Linked DNA regions of Saccharomyces cerevisiae S288C. The protein of the gene in region 1 binds, or shares a complex with, the protein of each later gene. Each region holds a gene or a part of one and is shown in the gene's direction. Other genes may lie near its edges.

Region 1 (5,882 bases):
AAACCATGAGCGAAGAAAAATAGCAGCAAAAAGTAGTGAGACCTGACATTAGCGGAAAACAACTTGCTTAAAAAGTCTCTTCCCGTCCATTTTATTATTTTGGGTGCCAAAAAATGTGTATTGTAACAAATTAAAAGGTAATGAGCCTCATTGAGGTCATTTCAGTTGTTACACTGAAAAGAACAGATACTACACTTGATCTAAGCCAAAAGGCAAAGAGATTCGTGGGGATTTAAAAAAAAAACAAGTAGAAACAAAATGAATAAATCTGATAACAAGTAAAGTACTCATCGATGAAAAAATGAATGTAGAGCCCTTTTTATATGTTTTCACCGAGTGGCCCATCGGAAACGGCAAAAAAAAAAAAAGAAAGAAAAAAGAAAAGAAACATAGAGCGTTGCTAGGTTTTTTTTGCCACCCACACCCATACACCCCATTACTTTGTCTGCAGCATCGTTATACACGTAGTGAAAGTGTGCAGGCCTCGGCGGTTAAAAAAATTTGAGCAGAAAAGCATGTTATTTAATACATGTAATATTTGTCTATGAAGCTTCGCTATCCTGCTGCAACTGCTGAGCAAGTTGTTGCCGGCGCAATTCTTTGTATCTCTCGTCCTCTGCAGACCCGACCCGCTGCAGAAATTCTTGCCGGGCCAAGAACCCATCCTTGTTGTGCAGCACCAATTCGTCGTTAAGTCCAGCACGGTCTACATAACTAGCCCAGTCCAGCTGAGATTTTTCTAATGTCGTTAGCTTGGGTCGTAGCCCGCCAGAAATGATCTGCTCCAACAATGGAGGCCTTTTCAGTGGCCGTCGCAAGTGTTGCCGGCTTTCATTGGACTTGGTCCTAACTGCTTTTTCCAGTTGAACAGGAGCAGCAGGCGCCTGCTGCTTAAATTTCAAACTGTTTAGATATTCTTGACCCTCCGCACTGCTGCGTGAAACCCATTTTTTCTCATGGACAGTTTCACCAGCAAACTTGTAGTTTCTTTCGATGAGGATTTTGTCCTCCTGTTGCGCGGCCGTTGTCGACCTAGCCTCCTTGGAACCGTCGAGAACAGAGCCGACTTTCCCTGAACTGCTCAAAAGACGGTTCTTACTAGCTTCCTGTAGCTCCTCCCAGATGCTGTTTACTTTTGCAGGGATCGATTCAACAGTTAACGATTCATACTTATGTGTTTTCGCATATTCTTCCTCAGCTTGCCGAGCTCTTCTAGTCTTGATCAGTCCGCCGCTCTCGCTCTCTATACGCGAATAGTCCACTTTATTTCTACCCTTATCTCTGTTCACACCGTCATCATAGTCGTCACCGCCATCGCTGGCATCACTATCGTCGCTACCACCACCTAATTTATCTTTTTCAGGCTGGAAGTCCTCGTCCTCCTCTTCTATGTAGCCGTCCTCGTCCTCGTCCTCCTTTTCGTTTGGTATAATCTTTGTCTCTACTTCTGGCATTTATAGGCTAGTGGGTTTTCTTTCTTGAAACAATATTATTCCAGTTTACGCCTTTTCGTCTTTTTTCTTACTTGTCGATTAATCCTATTCATCATCTTTAAACTTCGCTCTTTAATTCACTTTTTTTTGTCTTTCCCCGATATGGTACTTACACGAAATATCATGATACAAAAGAAAACACGTACATACTCGTCAAACGATAAATACGCACCTAGTCGTTAGCCGCATAAGTAACCTTTTTCATATTCAAACTTATCCATAGCCACATCCACTCTAACAATTTTAATCGTCCAGCGCGGCATTAAATAATCTTTCTGTAATACTCTTTAGCTCAATTATGTCCACAGAGACTACAAAACCATCAATCACTACTACACCAACTACTGTACTCGTTTCTCCCAACACGCTCAAAAGGAAAAAGGGTGAAGACACCAGCGAGGAACAACTGGAAGCAGAAATCAAACGCGTGGCCCTGAAGGATGCAGACAGCCACTCTGACAACGACCACGATTCCCCCGACAATGTTCCCTCTGATGTACATTTACGAATGCTGTGCTTAGTCAAACACGCTTCACTGATAGTAGGACACAAGGGCGCCACTATATCTAGAATAAAATCCGAAACCTCTGCTAGAATAAACATATCAAATAATATCAGAGGTGTTCCTGAAAGAATTGTTTACGTGAGGGGTACTTGCGATGATGTAGCCAAGGCATACGGCATGATAGTAAGAGCGCTGCTTGAAGAACATGGTAACGAAGATAACGGGGAAGACATTGAGATTTCTATCAACCTATTGATCCCTCATCATCTTATGGGATGTATAATTGGCAAACGTGGGTCTCGGTTAAGAGAAATTGAGGATTTGAGTGCAGCAAAATTATTCGCGTCCCCGAATCAATTGCTGCTTTCTAACGATAGAATTTTAACCATTAACGGGGTTCCGGATGCTATCCATATTGCTACTTTCTACATTAGTCAAACATTGCTAAACTTTCAGATGGAATCTCCGCAGAAAAATGTGAAAAGGTCCATATACTATCAGCCAACTCAGTTTAACTCAGTATTAATAGACCATAGCCAACCGAACACCATTTTCCATCAAAGAAACCACCAATATCATCCAAGCGATAAACTACTTTCATACAAACCCAACAAAAATTTACCAATATCATCTACTTTGTTGAGTATGGCCACACCGCAGTATACTACTGCTAGCGTTGCAAACGCAACGGCCTTTCAACCGAACTTCGTTATCCCTAATGTGACAGTCTTAGACGGCCCTGTTATCAGTCCGGCACCCGGCAACCATTTATTAATGAACTTTGTACAACAAGAGATATTCATAGATGAGAAATTTGTCGGAAATGTCATTGGCAAAGATGGCAAGCACATAAATTCGGTCAAGGAATCCACAGGTTGTTCAATTATTATACAAGATCCTGTAGAAGGCTCTTCGGAGAGAAGACTTACCATAAGAGGTACGTTCATGGCGTCCCAAGCTGCTATTATGTTGATTAGCAATAAAATTGAAATTGATAGATCAAATGCTGAACGTAAAAGAAGGTCGCCCCTCTAAATATACTGCTAGTCAATAAAAACACATAGAAAATAAAAATACAGAAACTACAAAAGGCAAAAAAAATAAAAGAAAAGGTAATAAATTGAATGAATGTAGATATATAAATATCAATAGAAATACGTACGCGGAATTATTTCTCTTTGTAACAAATTGATCAAAAGCTTTGTATTTTTTTTTTTTTTAGCTCGGCTGCGCGCTATTACAGTAATTACATGTAAATAAACTATTCCAAAGAATACAAAAGAAGAGCTTACAGTAGCCAGTCAAAGTCGCTGTGAAACATACACGGCGTTGTAGTCACAGTATGGAACACAATCTTTCACCTTTACAGCAAGAAGTATTGGACAAATACAAACAGCTTTCTTTAGATCTAAAAGCTCTGGATGAAACTATAAAAGAACTAAACTATTCGCAACACAGGCAACAGCATTCACAGCAAGAAACTGTATCGCCAGATGAGATACTACAGGAGATGAGGGACATAGAGGTCAAAATTGGTTTAGTTGGGACACTGCTAAAAGGTAGCGTGTACTCGCTTATCTTGCAAAGAAAGCAAGAACAGGAGTCTTTGGGTAGCAATTCTAAATAATGGTTTGGTGCAAGAAATTGATTCTGATGCTTTATTTTTTACGGTACACTACATTGTGCTGTGAGTTGTAATAATATAGTCTGTATATGCCAAGTGAAGAAAAAAACAATACAAACTCAAGGTGTATTATGAGGTAGGGAATACACATAACAATATATATATATACGTATGTATATTTAAATTGTATAAATGACGATCTTACCGTCTAACCCACAGGAAGAGACTTGTGTGATTTGGCCGTTGGATTCCGCAAAAGGTCTTAATTCCACAATGGCGTTTTCATGTGCACTTTCTTGGACATCTGTGCTAACTTTACCTTTCAAGTCTAATTCTTTAAACTTTCTCAATGCGGAAATACCGAAAGTTGAACTTTCATCATTATTACCACTCAGCTCGTCTGTATTACCAGATGCAGTTAAGGCAGAAGACTTGTTATTGTCTGATTTGTCTAGATTCTTCGCAAATTTCCAGCCTTCAGAGGCTTCGCTGAACAATACCGGATGACAAGAGTATCCTCCACAAACAATCTCGTGGTCGTTTATCCATACTAAGGACCTGTAAGGTAAACCTTCCGGAGCATTGACAGATTGCACTGGAGATTGGTAATCGACAACATTCAAAGTACCATCATGCGCTACATAAGCAATTCTTTCCATCTGACTTCTCCATTCCACATCATGGATATAAGAACCCTGATACCACTCCCTGATTAAACAACCAAAAGGGAATTTCTGGCCCCAGGGTGATCCGGCGACGGATTCCTTGGAATCCAAACCCTTGATAAACCCGCTGAACACACGCATAAACCCATCAGTACCACCAGCAGCTAATAGGACTCCATTTGCATGCCAAGACAGGCAATTGATGGTAGATTTGATGGGTTTCTTGATGTGCTTGGATACCCACCAATTATTCTCGTGTTCGTAATAACAAACAGCGATGATTCTAGCACTGGACCCAACAGCAAACTTATAACCATTTGGTGCCCATGTAACTGAAGTAGCTGCTCTGTTAATACGAAGAAGTACTAACGTGGGCTTGTATGTCCCATCACTCAATGGCTCCCAAACGTAAGCATTACGGTCTTGGGAGCAAGTCACAATACGACCATGTATGGAAATGTCCACAGCAGTAATGGTTTTATCATGATCTTTCAACGTTGCGAATAAAACGGGAGGTGTGTTGTTTGAAACTCTATAGACAAGACAATCTGTTTCGCATGTAACGGCTAAAATAGATTTATCTTGAGAAAAGCAATGAGAGTAGATTGGCGCTTTGACCAGCTTGTAGACGGCAACAACGGACTTGTCTTTAGAATTGGAAAATGACATTAGGAGACTCTCAACTAATATACGTTTACTTCGGCTTATTTTTCCTATTTTTCTTTGTTTCTAATCTGGAAGCTTTCTCGATCAAGATTGCTCTTATTTGACCCTTTTTCATTATAGGCAAGGCGCGGGCGGGTGACAAGAAGATTTTGATAATTGTGCAACTGATAACGTAGGATTCATTATCAACATTGTTGTTAAAGAGTAACAAGGAAATCTAAGAAATGGTTGTGCTTGTTGTCGAAGAAGTGATAGAGACAGTGTTTTTGCCAGCCAATTCTCTTTAAGAATAGGCCTTTCTTGTAGGATTAATGGTTAGTAGGTTTTATCAGATTCCAGGTACGCATCGGCCATCGTCGGCAATATCTTCTTCAAATGAATCTTCTTCACTGTTGTCTGCAAGGAGAATAAGTCAAACATATTTCAATTATCAGGCGACCCCTGAATGCCAAAAAGTTTCCTCTAAGTATGATCCTGATAACCCAAACAAAGATAAGTTGGGAACATACGATGGGGTATTTGTGCCTACTGCTTTAAACGTATTGTCTATCCTTATGTTTCTTCGTTTTGGCTTCATTTTGGGTCAGTTAGGTATTATATGCACCATCGGTCTTCTGCTATTGAGTTACACTATTAATCTTCTCACCACGTTAAGTATATCTGCTATATCTACAAACGGGACTGTTAGGGGCGGGGGTGCTTATTATATGATTTCAAGAAGTTTAGGACCTGAATTTGGTGGATCCATTGGGCTTGTCTTTTTCTTAGGGCAGGTGTTCAATGCAGGTATGAACGCAGTGGGTATTATCGAACCTTTACTCTATAACTTGGGTTATTCTGCTCAAGGCGAGCCACCTGCAGCTTTGGGAGAGCTACTACCAAGAGGGCATTGGCACGAATTTACATATGCCACGGTCATTCTTTTCTTA
Region 2 (6,007 bases), on another chromosome or scaffold:
AAATACTTCAAATGTGTAGGCAAAAAGTAAAAGCTTAGTTGAGTGTCACCTTCGATAATAAATTCTGGCATGGGAATGTCTTTAAAGTACATATCTTGGATAAATTTTTGAGATTCCTCACTGGCTTCCAATAAATATTTTTTAGCGCTACATTCTTGAAAAATATCACCCAATACCAAGGTATTTTCCTCCTTACCACTAGTGTAGTTGGCTGTGATACTGACGTGTTCCTCTACAATCAATCTTCTTGATATTCGAGCTCTTAACAGATCAGATAGTAGTTGGTCCATTTTTTCACGAGGATAAAGATCCAAAATTGTACATTCTAAAGCCCCCATTATCAAATGTGGTAAGTTTAGAGTATTGAAGCCTTCTAGCATATTTTTGATAAAATCTGCAAATTGAGAAGCGTCCTCTAAAGTTCTTATAGTCGGATATTTTCTAAAGCTTTCAAAAATATTGTAATATGACTCATAAACTTGAACAAAATGGAAGTTGTTCACAACATTAAATGGAAGTTGTTGCAATTGATTTAATTTATGCGCGATCCTAATTACCAGTTCTTCTTTTACAAATTTCCCGGAATTGATGATCTTGGTTCTGGTCAGCTTGGTAGAATCGTCATAATATTGCGCTAACTGCGTTAATGATACTGGATTTGGACTTCGTTTTAAGTAATTTTCTACTAATACCGTTCTATTATGATAGTAATGCTGCGGATTGATATATTCGGAATTTGAAGGGTATGCCTTCATGGTTTCCATGATGTAAGGTGCCAATTCTTCATTTACGGGACCAATGCAGTATTTCGTGAAATCAGGGATCTGCGAGATATTAGATGTCCTGAGAAAGTGCCGGTATCTTATGCAATTAATTTGATACTTAGACATAATTACAGAACTATTTATCCATTGACCAATCTCTCACGATCTTCATCTTTTACGTACTTTCTGGGTTCCAATGCAAGTATCCCATCCCTTCCCTTTTTATTCCTTGACGATCGGGCGATGAAATCTGAAAAAAATGAAAGTTTGGATGACTCAAAACATAGTGTTTCCCTTTAATAGAATAATTCGATTTACTCGGGAACAAAAGAGAAGAGCAACTAATTTACTATGTAGTTTACGAGCGTATGTTCATCTCTTCTATATATTCTCCCAGAGTATTATTGGAAATGTTGATGAATGCTAATTCAGGCTCACCTTCTCCTTGAAATGATTCGGAGATTTCTTTATTGATGAGTGTTAACAGACCCAAATCCCATTTGTTCCTTAAACTAACAAAAAATTTCATATATGTTAGTACCAAGAGTAAATCACCTTGCGTTCTTTTCTTTTGCTTGGCGGCAGAAAAACATATTAAAGCAATGCTATGAATGGAAGCCATGCGATCTTCATTAATAGTGATGTAAGGTCTTGGAGGTAGAGTTGGCATTATCGGTACACTATTAGCGGTATTCCCAGGATTCTGTTGTTCGATTAAACCGACAGTTTCGTCACGATTAGCAGCCTCAGGAGATCTAATCATCATATCTCTTAGAATGTCAAGAACAGCAATCTTTGCAGTTATATATGGACAATGTAGTAGAGTTTCAAAGATGAACGTAAAAGATGTGCTTTCGGGCATGAGATAGAGTAACCTCCTCAGAAGAGTAATTTCGGTCAACTTAGTGTCGTTATTAGATTCATTGCAAGTTTTCATCAGTAACATCTGCAAAAAGGCCGTGGTAATGTGCCCTGGAAGTTCTTGTAAGGCACACTTTATTTTCTCTGTGGAAGTCTCGGTTGTGGATACCCATAGCCAGTAGCGTACTGAACTTTCCAAAAACTTATTTTCGTATATTTCTGAAAATAAAGAAGCTGTCGTACACCGTAGATAGAGGTAAATTGCGCTTTGGATATCAATTTGCGGCAATAAGTGAGTACCATTTTTAGAATAATGTATTGCAGATAGAATCACAACTCCATATTGGTCCAGCTCTAAGTTCTTTTCGTCAGCTAGTTTCTTGATTTGATATGCGTAAGATACCTCATATACTAGTTGGTTAATTTCTTCTTTGAATTCGGGCGTGGAAGCGGCCGGGTTCATGAGAAGAGAGTTATAGATGCTTCTTGATTCTACCAGGCACTTTTCTAAAAGTTCTTTCATGTGGACATCCAATGATGTGACATACTCGTAGTATTGGTGGCATATCTGTAAAACTGAAGCATCGATTTCATTTTCATCTGTTTTTTTATGCATCAATGTTTTGAAATATATCTTGTCAATATTACCTGGATGATTTTTTAGGCAGTTGCTAATCACGAATACGCTCAGATTAGCCAGTAGTTTTTTCTGTAAGGCAGATTCATCATCATGAATTTTTTCAAGATCGTTTGTACTAATACCATCGGTCAGACTAGCAGATGGTTGAGCTGGAGAGTAATTAGTACAAAAATTGTACACTATGCGCAAAATAAAGTGTGGATCATCCATAGCCTGAACGTTGGTTGTTACATACTTAATAATTGCAGAAGTTACCATGGCTAGAAATTTAGATGGATATAAAGTGTCCACACGTTTCAACAATAAACTCATAAATTCAAAGAGAACGTAAATTTTCAAATTTGGAATGAATTCTACTGTATTTTTGGCCATATAGTGCCCAATCTCCGGAGTGATAACTGACAGCTCATCAGTAATGTTTGACGCATCATTTCTATTGGAGTCATTTAAATCTTCATTCTCTTCATCGGAGTCGCCAGTTTCAGTTAAGACTATATGGAGTGTTGACACCAATTCGCAAGCGGTCAACAAGCATTCTTTCGGATTTCCATTGATGGCTAGCTCATTGAAGCATTCCATCACACTAGAAACAAGGGGACTAAAAACTAGATGTATATTGACATTGATGTTTTTGCGTGAGAAAAACTGCAATAAACCCTTTGGCAGATCCCAGCCAATTTCCTTTAAGGTAACTGGATTATCCTTAAGTATTTTCAATAGGGCATCCAAATAACGTTCCTTTTCTTTTATAGACTTTCCAGAGTTCACCTGCTCGTTGTACATATCAATGATTGTTACAAGTGAGACAAAATCATCCTTCTCCTCTTGGAAAGCCCTGACAAGGCTTTTACAAATTGTTTCAATTGACTCACCCATACTTTCTGAGCCCTTCCTCTTGACGGTGAGTTCTTTTAGCCTTTTAGACCCAGGATAATATGTATTTTCCTTTATTCTTAGATGAGAGGTTTTTGGACCTCAGCGCAAGTTAGTTTCACAGCGAAACGAAGGAAAAAAGAATAATAATTACAAACAAACGCCAAAATCAAACGCGATAAAGAAAGATAGGCTAAGTAATCTGGACTGGTGACTCAAGTATTACTAAAGAAGATAATTTGAAACTTGAACAAGTCTTCAATATGAGTGAGCAAAGCCAATTAGATGATTCGACTATAGACAAACTGATTCCACAGATTTTCAATGAGATGAGATCTAACCTCAATAACACGACCAATAAATTTCCAAAAAGCACAGGAGGTGGAGCAAGCGATAATATTTCGGCTAACAGCAATTCTATAAGATCGTTTAATTCAATCACAACGCAATCCTTACTCAAAGAATCAGAATCGTTAGATAAAATAACAGCAATGATAAAAAATGTTACGGCCGCATTAAAAAATAACTTGCCAGTATACGTTAATCAAGTACATGAGGTATGTAAATCTACGAATTCCATTTTAGATTCATGGATCAACATTCATTCTCAAGCTGGTTATATTCATAAATTGATGAGCGATCAAACCTATTTAAAGCTAATTAATGATAGACTGCACAATGAAAATGTAAACACAAATGATGAAGATGGGAGTACTTTACACAACGTGATAGCGTTGAAAAAGAAGGAGATCTTGGATTTGAGACAAAAATTAGAAAATAGGAAGGGTGAAAAGGATGCTGCACCAGCAAAGCCACCAAATCAAGGCTTAAATCCAAGGTACGGTGTGCAATCTGGTAGAAGGCCCGTTCCTTCGGCAGGAATTTCAAATAACGGAAGAGTAAGAAAGACCCATGTTCCTGCCTCGAAAAGACCTAGTGGTATACCAAGAGTAACTAACAGGTGGACTAAGCCCACTGCTAGCAGCTCAAGGAAGATGTTTCGCTAAAAGATGCTTTCGGGAATGTATCTAGGATTTATTGTATATGGAATTTAAATCGAAATAGTAGATAAATTAATGATGAAAAAAGGACACGTTAATTGGATGCGTTAAATTATTATTTTTTTTTTTATTTAACTTTTGTTCCTAATTATGTATTAGTATTTACTGGTCGTCAAAAAATAGGAAAGGTAAATAAATAAGATTCGGGTATATTATACATTATAAATGAGAACTAACCGGTTCATGCCTTAGTTTCAACAGGAACTTGGTCTTCTAATAGAACTAATAAATCAGAAGAGTCCACATTTTCACCATCAGAGACAAACACTTCTTTAACTTGTCCATCGGATGGAGAAGATATAATCATTTCCATTTTCATGGCGCTTAATACGGCTACAGGTTGGCCCTTCTTTATTAGTGATCCTTTATGAACTTTAACTTCAACAATGACACCTGCCATTGGTGCACCAATGTGTAATGGATCATGCATGTCTGCTTTGGATTTAGTAACAGTTTCCACTTTTTGTGATCTGTCAGCAACACGAATTTTTCTCATTTCACCATTCAAATCAAAGTAAACTTCTCTTTCACCGGTCTTTTTGTTCAAATCACCCACAGCCTGTAGCTTGATAATTAGCGTTTTACCTTGTTCGATTACAACTTCAATTTCTTCGTCAGTCTCTAGTGGAGACAAAAAGCTTCTTGTTGGCAATACAGATAAATCACCATACGTTTCTCTCATCTTTTGGAAGTCTTCATAAACTCTTGGGTACATGTTATAAGAAGCAACGTCGCACTCATCAACATCACCAAATCTATTCTGCAAGTCTTCTCTAATTTTTTCGAGATCAAATGGCTCTAGTTCCAGGCCTGGACGACAAGTCAACTTTCTTCTCTTGTTCCTTAAAACGTCTGATCTAAATGGTTCTGGGAACCCACCATATGGTTGGCCGATTAAGCCTTCGAAGAAATCCATAACAGAGTCAGGGAAATCCAAAGAATTAGCCAGGCGTCTCACATCATCGGAAGTTAATTTATTGGAGACCATAAATTGTGCCAGATCACCAACGACCTTCGAAGTTGGGGTAACTTTGACAATATCACCCAATAAATAATTGGCTTCTCTGTAAGCTCTTTTTGTTTCGGCCCATTGTTCTCCAAGACCCAATTGTTGGGCTTGAAACAACAAGTTTGTCAATTGACCACCTGGGATTTCATGTTGATAAACTTCTGGATCTGGGCCCTTCAAGTCAGCCTCGAAACAAGAGTATAACAATCTCATCTCTGCCCAATATGCATCTAGTTCACGGACATGCTCAACGTTAATACCAGTGTCAATATTACCTTCTAATGAAGCCAACAGAGCATTGATTGATGGTTGTGAAGTTAAACCAGACATTGAGTTGATGGCAACATCAACGACATCGGCGCCCGCCAGAGCACACGCAGTCATTGATGCAACAGCAGTACCTGCAGAATCGTGAGTGTGAACATGTATTGGGAGATCAGGGTACTTAGCCCTCAAAGATCCAATCAGTAGTTTGGCAGCTGCTGGCTTCATGGTACCTGCCATATCTTTGATACCCAGGATATGAGTGCCCATTTGGACAATTTTTTCAGCAATTTCCAAGTAGTAATCCAAATTGTATTTCTTGCCTGGCTGAAGCATATCCCCAGAGAAACAAACAGTGGCTTCTACAACACCACCTGCCTTCTTCACAGCATCTACACCGACCTTCAATTGTTCCAAGTCATTTAAGGCATCAAAGACTCTAAATATATCAACACCATTATCCTTGGCTTGCTTGACGAAATGGTCAATAGCATTGTCAGGCAATGAAGAATAAGCCACACCATTGGCACCACGC
Region 3 (5,748 bases), on another chromosome or scaffold:
AGTTACAAATATATAAGTAATAGTTGCTTTCATAAAAATTATTAACACTTCTTTCGAACTCATCGCAGAAGTGTCGCCGGCCCCTCAACTTCGCGCCGTATCGCTTTTTTTTTTTTTTTTCAATACAGGATCAAGACGAAAAACACTTTTCTGTTCTTGTTTGTCTCTGTTGGTTGGATTATATCTCCAACAAAAGGGAAAATCCCAGTTTGACCTTATTATATTAGAATTGTCTTTTGTCTTCTTTCTTTCATTTTGTACATCTTTCTGTCTTCTCAAATCTTTTTTTTATTTTTTGTATATATAAAACTAAAGCTAAAAGACTATGGATACCTCTCACGAAATTCATGATAAAATACCCGATACATTAAGAGAGCAGCAGCAGCATTTGCGCCAAAAAGAGTCGGAAGGGTGCATAACAACATTGAAAGATCTTAATGTACCTGAGACGAAGAAACTTTCCTCCGTCTTACATGGCAGAAAGGCGAGTACATATTTAAGAATTTTTAGAGATGATGAATGTTTAGCCGATAACAACAATGGTGTAGATAGCAATAATGGCGGGTCCGTGACATGCGCGGACAAAATAACAAGGTCAGAAGCAACTCCCAAATCGGTACCAGAAGGACTACAAGTTTCTGAAAAAAAGAATAACCCAGATACTTTGTCCTCTTCATTGTCAAGTTTCATTTTATCTAACCACGAGGAGCCGGCAATTAAGCCCAATAAACACGTGGCGCATAGAAATAATATTACTGAGACAGGTCAAGGCTCTGGTGAGGATATCGCAAAACAACAATCACACCAACCACAGGTGTTACACCACCAGACTTCTTTAAAGCCAATTCAGAATGTTGATGAGGGATGTATTTCGCCTAAGTCCACTTATCAGGAGAGCTTACATGGAATATCGGAGGACTTAACGTTAAAGCCTGTTTCTTCTGCAACATACTATCCTCACAAAAGTAAAGCAGATTCTGGTTATGAAGAAAAGGATAAAATGGAAAATGATATTGATACTATTCAGCCTGCCACCATAAATTGTGCCTCTGGTATAGCGACACTTCCTAGTTCATATAACCGACATACTTTCAAAGTTAAGACATATTCAACTTTATCACAATCCCTAAGGCAAGAAAACGTCAACAATCGTAGTAACGAAAAAAAACCTCAACAGTTTGTGCCACATAGCGAATCAATTAAAGAAAAACCCAATACGTTTGAACAAGATAAAGAAGGCGAGCAAGCGGACGAAGAAGAGGATGAAGGTGATAATGAACATAGGGAATATCCCCTAGCAGTTGAACTAAAACCATTTACGAATAGAGTTGGAGGTCACACTGCAATATTCAGATTTTCGAAGAGAGCGGTTTGTAAGGCTCTAGTGAATAGAGAAAACAGGTGGTATGAGAATATAGAGCTGTGCCATAAAGAATTATTGCAATTCATGCCACGTTATATTGGTGTCCTGAATGTTAGGCAACATTTTCAGTCAAAAGATGACTTTTTAAGCGATTTGGATCAAGAAAACAACGGTAAAAATGATACCAGTAATGAAAACAAAGACATAGAAGTCAATCATAACAATAACGACGATATTGCGCTTAATACAGAACCCACGGGGACCCCCTTAACACACATACATTCCTTCCCCTTGGAACATTCGTCGAGACAAGTACTTGAAAAAGAGCATCCTGAAATTGAGTCTGTCCATCCACACGTGAAAAGATCACTGTCAAGTTCCAACCAACCTTCCTTGTTGCCCGAGGTTGTATTAAATGATAACAGGCATATTATACCGGAATCTCTGTGGTACAAATATTCCGATTCTCCAAACTCGGCACCGAATGATTCGTACTTTTCGTCCTCCTCTTCTCATAACTCATGTTCGTTCGGTGAGCGTGGCAATACAAATAAATTAAAAAGACGCGATTCTGGGTCCACCATGATCAATACTGAATTGAAGAACCTAGTCATAAGGGAAGTATTTGCACCGAAATGTTTTAGAAGGAAAAGAAACTCTAATACGACTACAATGGGAAACCATAATGCGCGTTTGGGTTCCAGTCCATCTTTTTTAACACAAAAATCAAGAGCCTCGTCCCATGATGCATCGAATACGTCTATGAAGACTCTTGGTGATTCATCGTCACAAGCGAGTTTACAGATGGATGACTCGAAAGTCAATCCGAATTTGCAGGATCCTTTCTTGAAAAAATCGCTTCATGAAAAAATATCTAATGCTTTAGATGGCTCGCATTCAGTAATGGATTTGAAGCAATTCCACAAAAACGAACAAATAAAACATAAAAACTCTTTCTGCAACTCTTTATCACCCATTCTCACTGCAACCAATTCTAGAGATGATGGCGAATTTGCCACCTCCCCGAATTATATCAGCAACGCACAAGATGGTGTTTTTGATATGGATGAAGATACGGGAAACGAAACTATAAATATGGATAACCACGGCTGCCATCTTGACTCTGGTAAAAACATGATTATAAAGTCATTGGCGTATAATGTTTCAAATGACTATAGTCATCATGATATTGAATCAATTACGTTTGAGGAGACGTCCCACACCATTGTTTCAAAATTTATCTTATTGGAAGATTTGACAAGAAACATGAACAAGCCTTGTGCACTGGATCTAAAGATGGGGACAAGACAATATGGCGTAGACGCCAAAAGAGCCAAGCAACTGTCACAGCGTGCAAAGTGTTTAAAGACCACTTCTAGGCGTTTAGGCGTTAGAATCTGCGGATTAAAGGTTTGGAACAAAGATTATTATATCACAAGAGATAAATACTTTGGTAGAAGGGTTAAGGTTGGTTGGCAATTTGCTAGGGTACTTGCACGTTTTTTGTATGATGGTAAGACCATTGAAAGTTTAATCAGGCAAATTCCAAGGTTGATCAAGCAACTAGATACTTTGTATTCTGAAATTTTTAATTTGAAAGGTTACAGGCTATATGGCGCGTCTTTATTACTAATGTACGATGGAGATGCTAATAAATCAAATTCTAAAAGGAAAAAAGCTGCTAATGTTAAAGTCAACTTGATCGATTTTGCACGTTGTGTTACTAAAGAAGATGCAATGGAATGTATGGATAAATTTCGTATACCCCCAAAATCGCCAAATATAGAAGATAAAGGGTTCTTACGAGGTGTGAAGAGCTTGAGGTTTTATCTGTTATTAATCTGGAATTATCTGACTTCTGATATGCCGTTAATTTTCGATGAAGTAGAGATGAATGATATGATTAGCGAAGAAGCAGATTCGAATAGTTTCACCTCCGCCACCGGTTCGAAAATCAACTTCAACAGTAAGTGGGATTGGTTAGATGAATTTGACAAAGAAGACGAAGAAATGTATAATGATCCAAATAGTAAACTAAGACAAAAATGGAGAAAATACGAGCTTATTTTCGACGCTGAACCAAGATACAATGACGATGCTCAAGTTAGTGATTGAAAAGAAAGGATAGAACTAATGAATATTCTTTTAGCTGCGCTTATTTCAGTCCGTAAATGCATTTATCTATTCGTAACTATCATTATTTTGATTGCATAATCCAATAAATACACAAACGAGCATAGCATATATAACTATATATATGAAAAGACAAACGAATTTGTACGTGTATGAATATGACTACACGGTTATAGGCGATCACTAGAACCATTGAGCGGAAAGGGCCACCTCCGGGTAAAAGTCAAGGCCGCGAAAATAACAAAGGGAATAAACAGTCACCTTTAACAAGAGGAGGTAGTAATTAGCGTAGGAATAGGACTGATGAAGAGCTCGGACGTGTGAGGATATATGTACATATGATGGCTAGTACATCCAATGATGAAGAAAAGTTGATATCAACCACTGACAAATACTTCATCGAGCAGAGGAATATAGTATTGCAGGAGATCAATGAGACTATGAATTCAATCTTGAATGGTCTGAATGGTCTCAATATATCATTGGAGAGCTCGATAGCTGTGGGAAGAGAATTCCAGTCAGTTTCTGATTTGTGGAAAACACTTTATGATGGGTTGGAAAGTTTATCAGACGAAGCGCCCATCGACGAGCAACCTACTTTATCTCAATCGAAAACGAAGTAAAGTTGCGGTTCCCTCTGTCTCTCCTAATATTATCCTAAATTTATGTTTACAGTCGCAAATTAGATAAAGGATACGTAAGATATAAATTGTAATTTTAGCCTAATGATAAGTAAGTTGTGGACAACTTTTGCACGTTGAAAAAAGTGGAGGGCCACCGAACTCTTTTTCAAACGTTCTCCTCTTTGAACTTAGTTGTCTACCGTTTTGGATGGTAATAGCTGTTTCTTGGATAGACCTACCTTATATTTAACCTTGTTAGAATCCACCTGATAGAATGTCTTGTTCGTTTCATATATCAAGTCCTTTAGGCTCTTCTTCTTCCTTGGAGGGCTTTTCTTCATTGAAGGTGGTGGTTGTAGCCTGTCAAGCTCTTTCGAGGGACCTCCTTGGTATTGATCTTGTTCTCTTACTCCTTTTTTGGCGTCCAGATAAGCACCCCCATTGGGGCTTCCGCCACCTGTGTTCTCAGACAGATTTTTGGCACGAAGTTGTTGTTTTTCCAATTCCAAATTAAACAGTCTTCTTTCTACAACGTTGATGTTGACTATGGGAGAAGTCGTAATAGACCTTTTGTTCTTTCTTGCTGGAGCAACTTCGGTGCACAAGCTCTTTTCGGCATTATTATGTACCCCGAGTGGTATATAGGAGCAGCTTCTCCTATTTGATCTTTGTTGCATCGTCTTGATTTCTCTCTTTCGTTCGTCTCTGACATGTAGTTGTAATTCAAGAATTTAACCTGGGCGGCTATCTTAATAAATAGTGCATTACTCAAGCAAAAATCAGAAACCACGTACGCTAATTAAAGCCGTGAAAAACGAAAATATAAATATGCGAGAGTATACATTAAAATATTGTACATGTTAGCGACGCAGATTTATACCTCGCCATTTTTAGTCTTGAATTGAGGTGATCTTTTATTAAAGAGCATATCACCTCGGCAAGAACCCAGGTCTATTACACAAGTGGCAAGGCAAAGTGTGCATAATAAATATGTAATATAGTTACTTGCATTTTTTAATCTCTTGAGGTTATTATTCCTCATGTTGTCTAACTTCCAAGCAACTAGGAGTGATAAACACGTCGTCTTTAGGAATGGTGAACATTGGCAGTTATGGCCATTCAGAATGAATTTCAAGAGAAAAAGGATGCACCTTGCATGAAGTACCAAGAAAATAGACAAATCCGCTGGAGAAATTGGTATTGTTACTATAATTCTTATTCCCGATGTTCCAAGCAGGCATTCACATGCATCAGTTGAAAGGTATATAAGTACTACTTCAATATATCTATCAGCTCTGGGAAAATGCTTCAAGAAGGAAAAATGATAAGTAAACTATCCTTTAACGCCTCATGATTATTGAATAGCCTATACATGCAGAGATTAAATTTGATCCAACACCAGTAAATCCTTAGTTAAGTCATCGCATGCATGTTTACCATACATTCACTACTATTTGTGTACGGAAGACCAAATAAGATAAACCATAATGCTGGTCTCCTTCCATTTACTAACATACGTAATTGCTCCTACTGCCGTTCAGCCTAACCTACTCACACATTCTGATGGTGATCATGCAATCTTTGAGTGAATATGTTGACTAAAAGAACATTAAGCTTTATTTTTTTGGC

What was found.
Region 2: the proteins of DAD3 (region 1) and DUO1 are in contact, whole or in part, in a cryo-EM structure (PDB 8Q84), measured with the Saccharomyces cerevisiae proteins. Residues at the interface, in NP_631876.1 of Saccharomyces cerevisiae: Leu8 (codon at 3,362), Glu11 (codon at 3,371), Val12 (codon at 3,374), Lys15 (codon at 3,383), Tyr16 (codon at 3,386), Gln18 (codon at 3,392), Leu19 (codon at 3,395), Asp22 (codon at 3,404), Leu23 (codon at 3,407), Ala25 (codon at 3,413), Leu26 (codon at 3,416), Thr29 (codon at 3,425), Ile30 (codon at 3,428), Leu33 (codon at 3,437), Gln45 (codon at 3,473), Glu46 (codon at 3,476), Val48 (codon at 3,482), Asp51 (codon at 3,491), Glu52 (codon at 3,494), Glu56 (codon at 3,506), Met57 (codon at 3,509), Asp59 (codon at 3,515), Ile60 (codon at 3,518), Lys63 (codon at 3,527), Ile64 (codon at 3,530), Leu66 (codon at 3,536), Val67 (codon at 3,539); in NP_011454.1 of Saccharomyces cerevisiae: Leu64 (codon at 3,591), Glu67 (codon at 3,600), Ser68 (codon at 3,603), Leu71 (codon at 3,612), Asp72 (codon at 3,615), Ile74 (codon at 3,621), Thr75 (codon at 3,624), Ile78 (codon at 3,633), Lys79 (codon at 3,636), Val81 (codon at 3,642), Thr82 (codon at 3,645), Leu85 (codon at 3,654), Lys86 (codon at 3,657), Leu89 (codon at 3,666), Val93 (codon at 3,678), Asn94 (codon at 3,681), Val96 (codon at 3,687), His97 (codon at 3,690), Cys100 (codon at 3,699), Thr103 (codon at 3,708), Asn104 (codon at 3,711), Leu107 (codon at 3,720), Asp108 (codon at 3,723), Trp110 (codon at 3,729), Ile111 (codon at 3,732).
Region 3: the proteins of DAD3 (region 1) and DAD1 are in contact, whole or in part, in a cryo-EM structure (PDB 8Q84), measured with the Saccharomyces cerevisiae proteins. Residues at the interface, in NP_631876.1 of Saccharomyces cerevisiae: His3 (codon at 3,347), Asn4 (codon at 3,350), Leu5 (codon at 3,353), Gln9 (codon at 3,365), Leu13 (codon at 3,377), Tyr16 (codon at 3,386), Lys17 (codon at 3,389), Ser20 (codon at 3,398), Leu23 (codon at 3,407), Leu26 (codon at 3,416), Asp27 (codon at 3,419), Ile30 (codon at 3,428), Leu33 (codon at 3,437), Asn34 (codon at 3,440), Val48 (codon at 3,482), Glu52 (codon at 3,494), Ile53 (codon at 3,497), Leu54 (codon at 3,500), Met57 (codon at 3,509), Arg58 (codon at 3,512), Ile60 (codon at 3,518), Glu61 (codon at 3,521), Ile64 (codon at 3,530), Val67 (codon at 3,539), Gly68 (codon at 3,542), Lys72 (codon at 3,554); in NP_010299.3 of Saccharomyces cerevisiae: Thr16 (codon at 3,880), Tyr19 (codon at 3,889), Phe20 (codon at 3,892), Gln23 (codon at 3,901), Arg24 (codon at 3,904), Val27 (codon at 3,913), Leu28 (codon at 3,916), Glu30 (codon at 3,922), Ile31 (codon at 3,925), Thr34 (codon at 3,934), Met35 (codon at 3,937), Ser37 (codon at 3,943), Ile38 (codon at 3,946), Gly41 (codon at 3,955), Leu42 (codon at 3,958), Gly44 (codon at 3,964), Leu45 (codon at 3,967), Ser48 (codon at 3,976), Leu49 (codon at 3,979), Ser51 (codon at 3,985), Ser52 (codon at 3,988), Val55 (codon at 3,997), Phe59 (codon at 4,009), Val62 (codon at 4,018), Leu65 (codon at 4,027), Trp66 (codon at 4,030).

Annotation. Positions count from the first base shown.
Region 1 is NC_001134.8:681,637-687,518, forward strand, and holds DAD3 (Dad3p), read left to right. Parts: upstream 1-3,340; coding exon 3,341-3,625; downstream 3,626-5,882. Other genes in the region: SWC5 (Swc5p), read right to left, coding at 543-1,454; telomere maintenance protein PBP2, read left to right, coding at 1,792-3,033; ARC40 (Arc40p), read right to left, coding at 3,802-4,956; VHC1 (Vhc1p), read left to right, coding at 5,265-5,882.
Region 2 is NC_001139.9:387,106-393,112, reverse strand, and holds DUO1 (Duo1p), read left to right. Parts: upstream 1-3,401; coding exon 3,402-4,145; downstream 4,146-6,007. Other genes in the region: protein kinase PKP2, read right to left, coding at 1-890; YBP2 (Ybp2p), read right to left, coding at 1,123-3,048; PYC1 (pyruvate carboxylase 1), read right to left, coding at 4,381-6,007. UniProt on the Saccharomyces cerevisiae protein: Component of the DASH complex that connects microtubules with kinetochores and couples microtubule depolymerisation to chromosome movement; it is involved in retrieving kinetochores to the spindle poles before their re-orientation on the spindle in early mitosis and allows microtubule depolymerization to pull chromosomes apart and resist detachment during anaphase.
Region 3 is NC_001136.10:476,845-482,592, reverse strand, and holds DAD1 (Dad1p), read left to right. Parts: upstream 1-3,834; coding exon 3,835-4,119; downstream 4,120-5,748. Other genes in the region: inositol polyphosphate kinase KCS1, read left to right, coding at 326-3,478; HED1 (Hed1p), read right to left, coding at 4,308-4,796. UniProt on the Saccharomyces cerevisiae protein: Component of the DASH complex that connects microtubules with kinetochores and couples microtubule depolymerisation to chromosome movement; it is involved in retrieving kinetochores to the spindle poles before their re-orientation on the spindle in early mitosis and allows microtubule depolymerization to pull chromosomes apart and resist detachment during anaphase.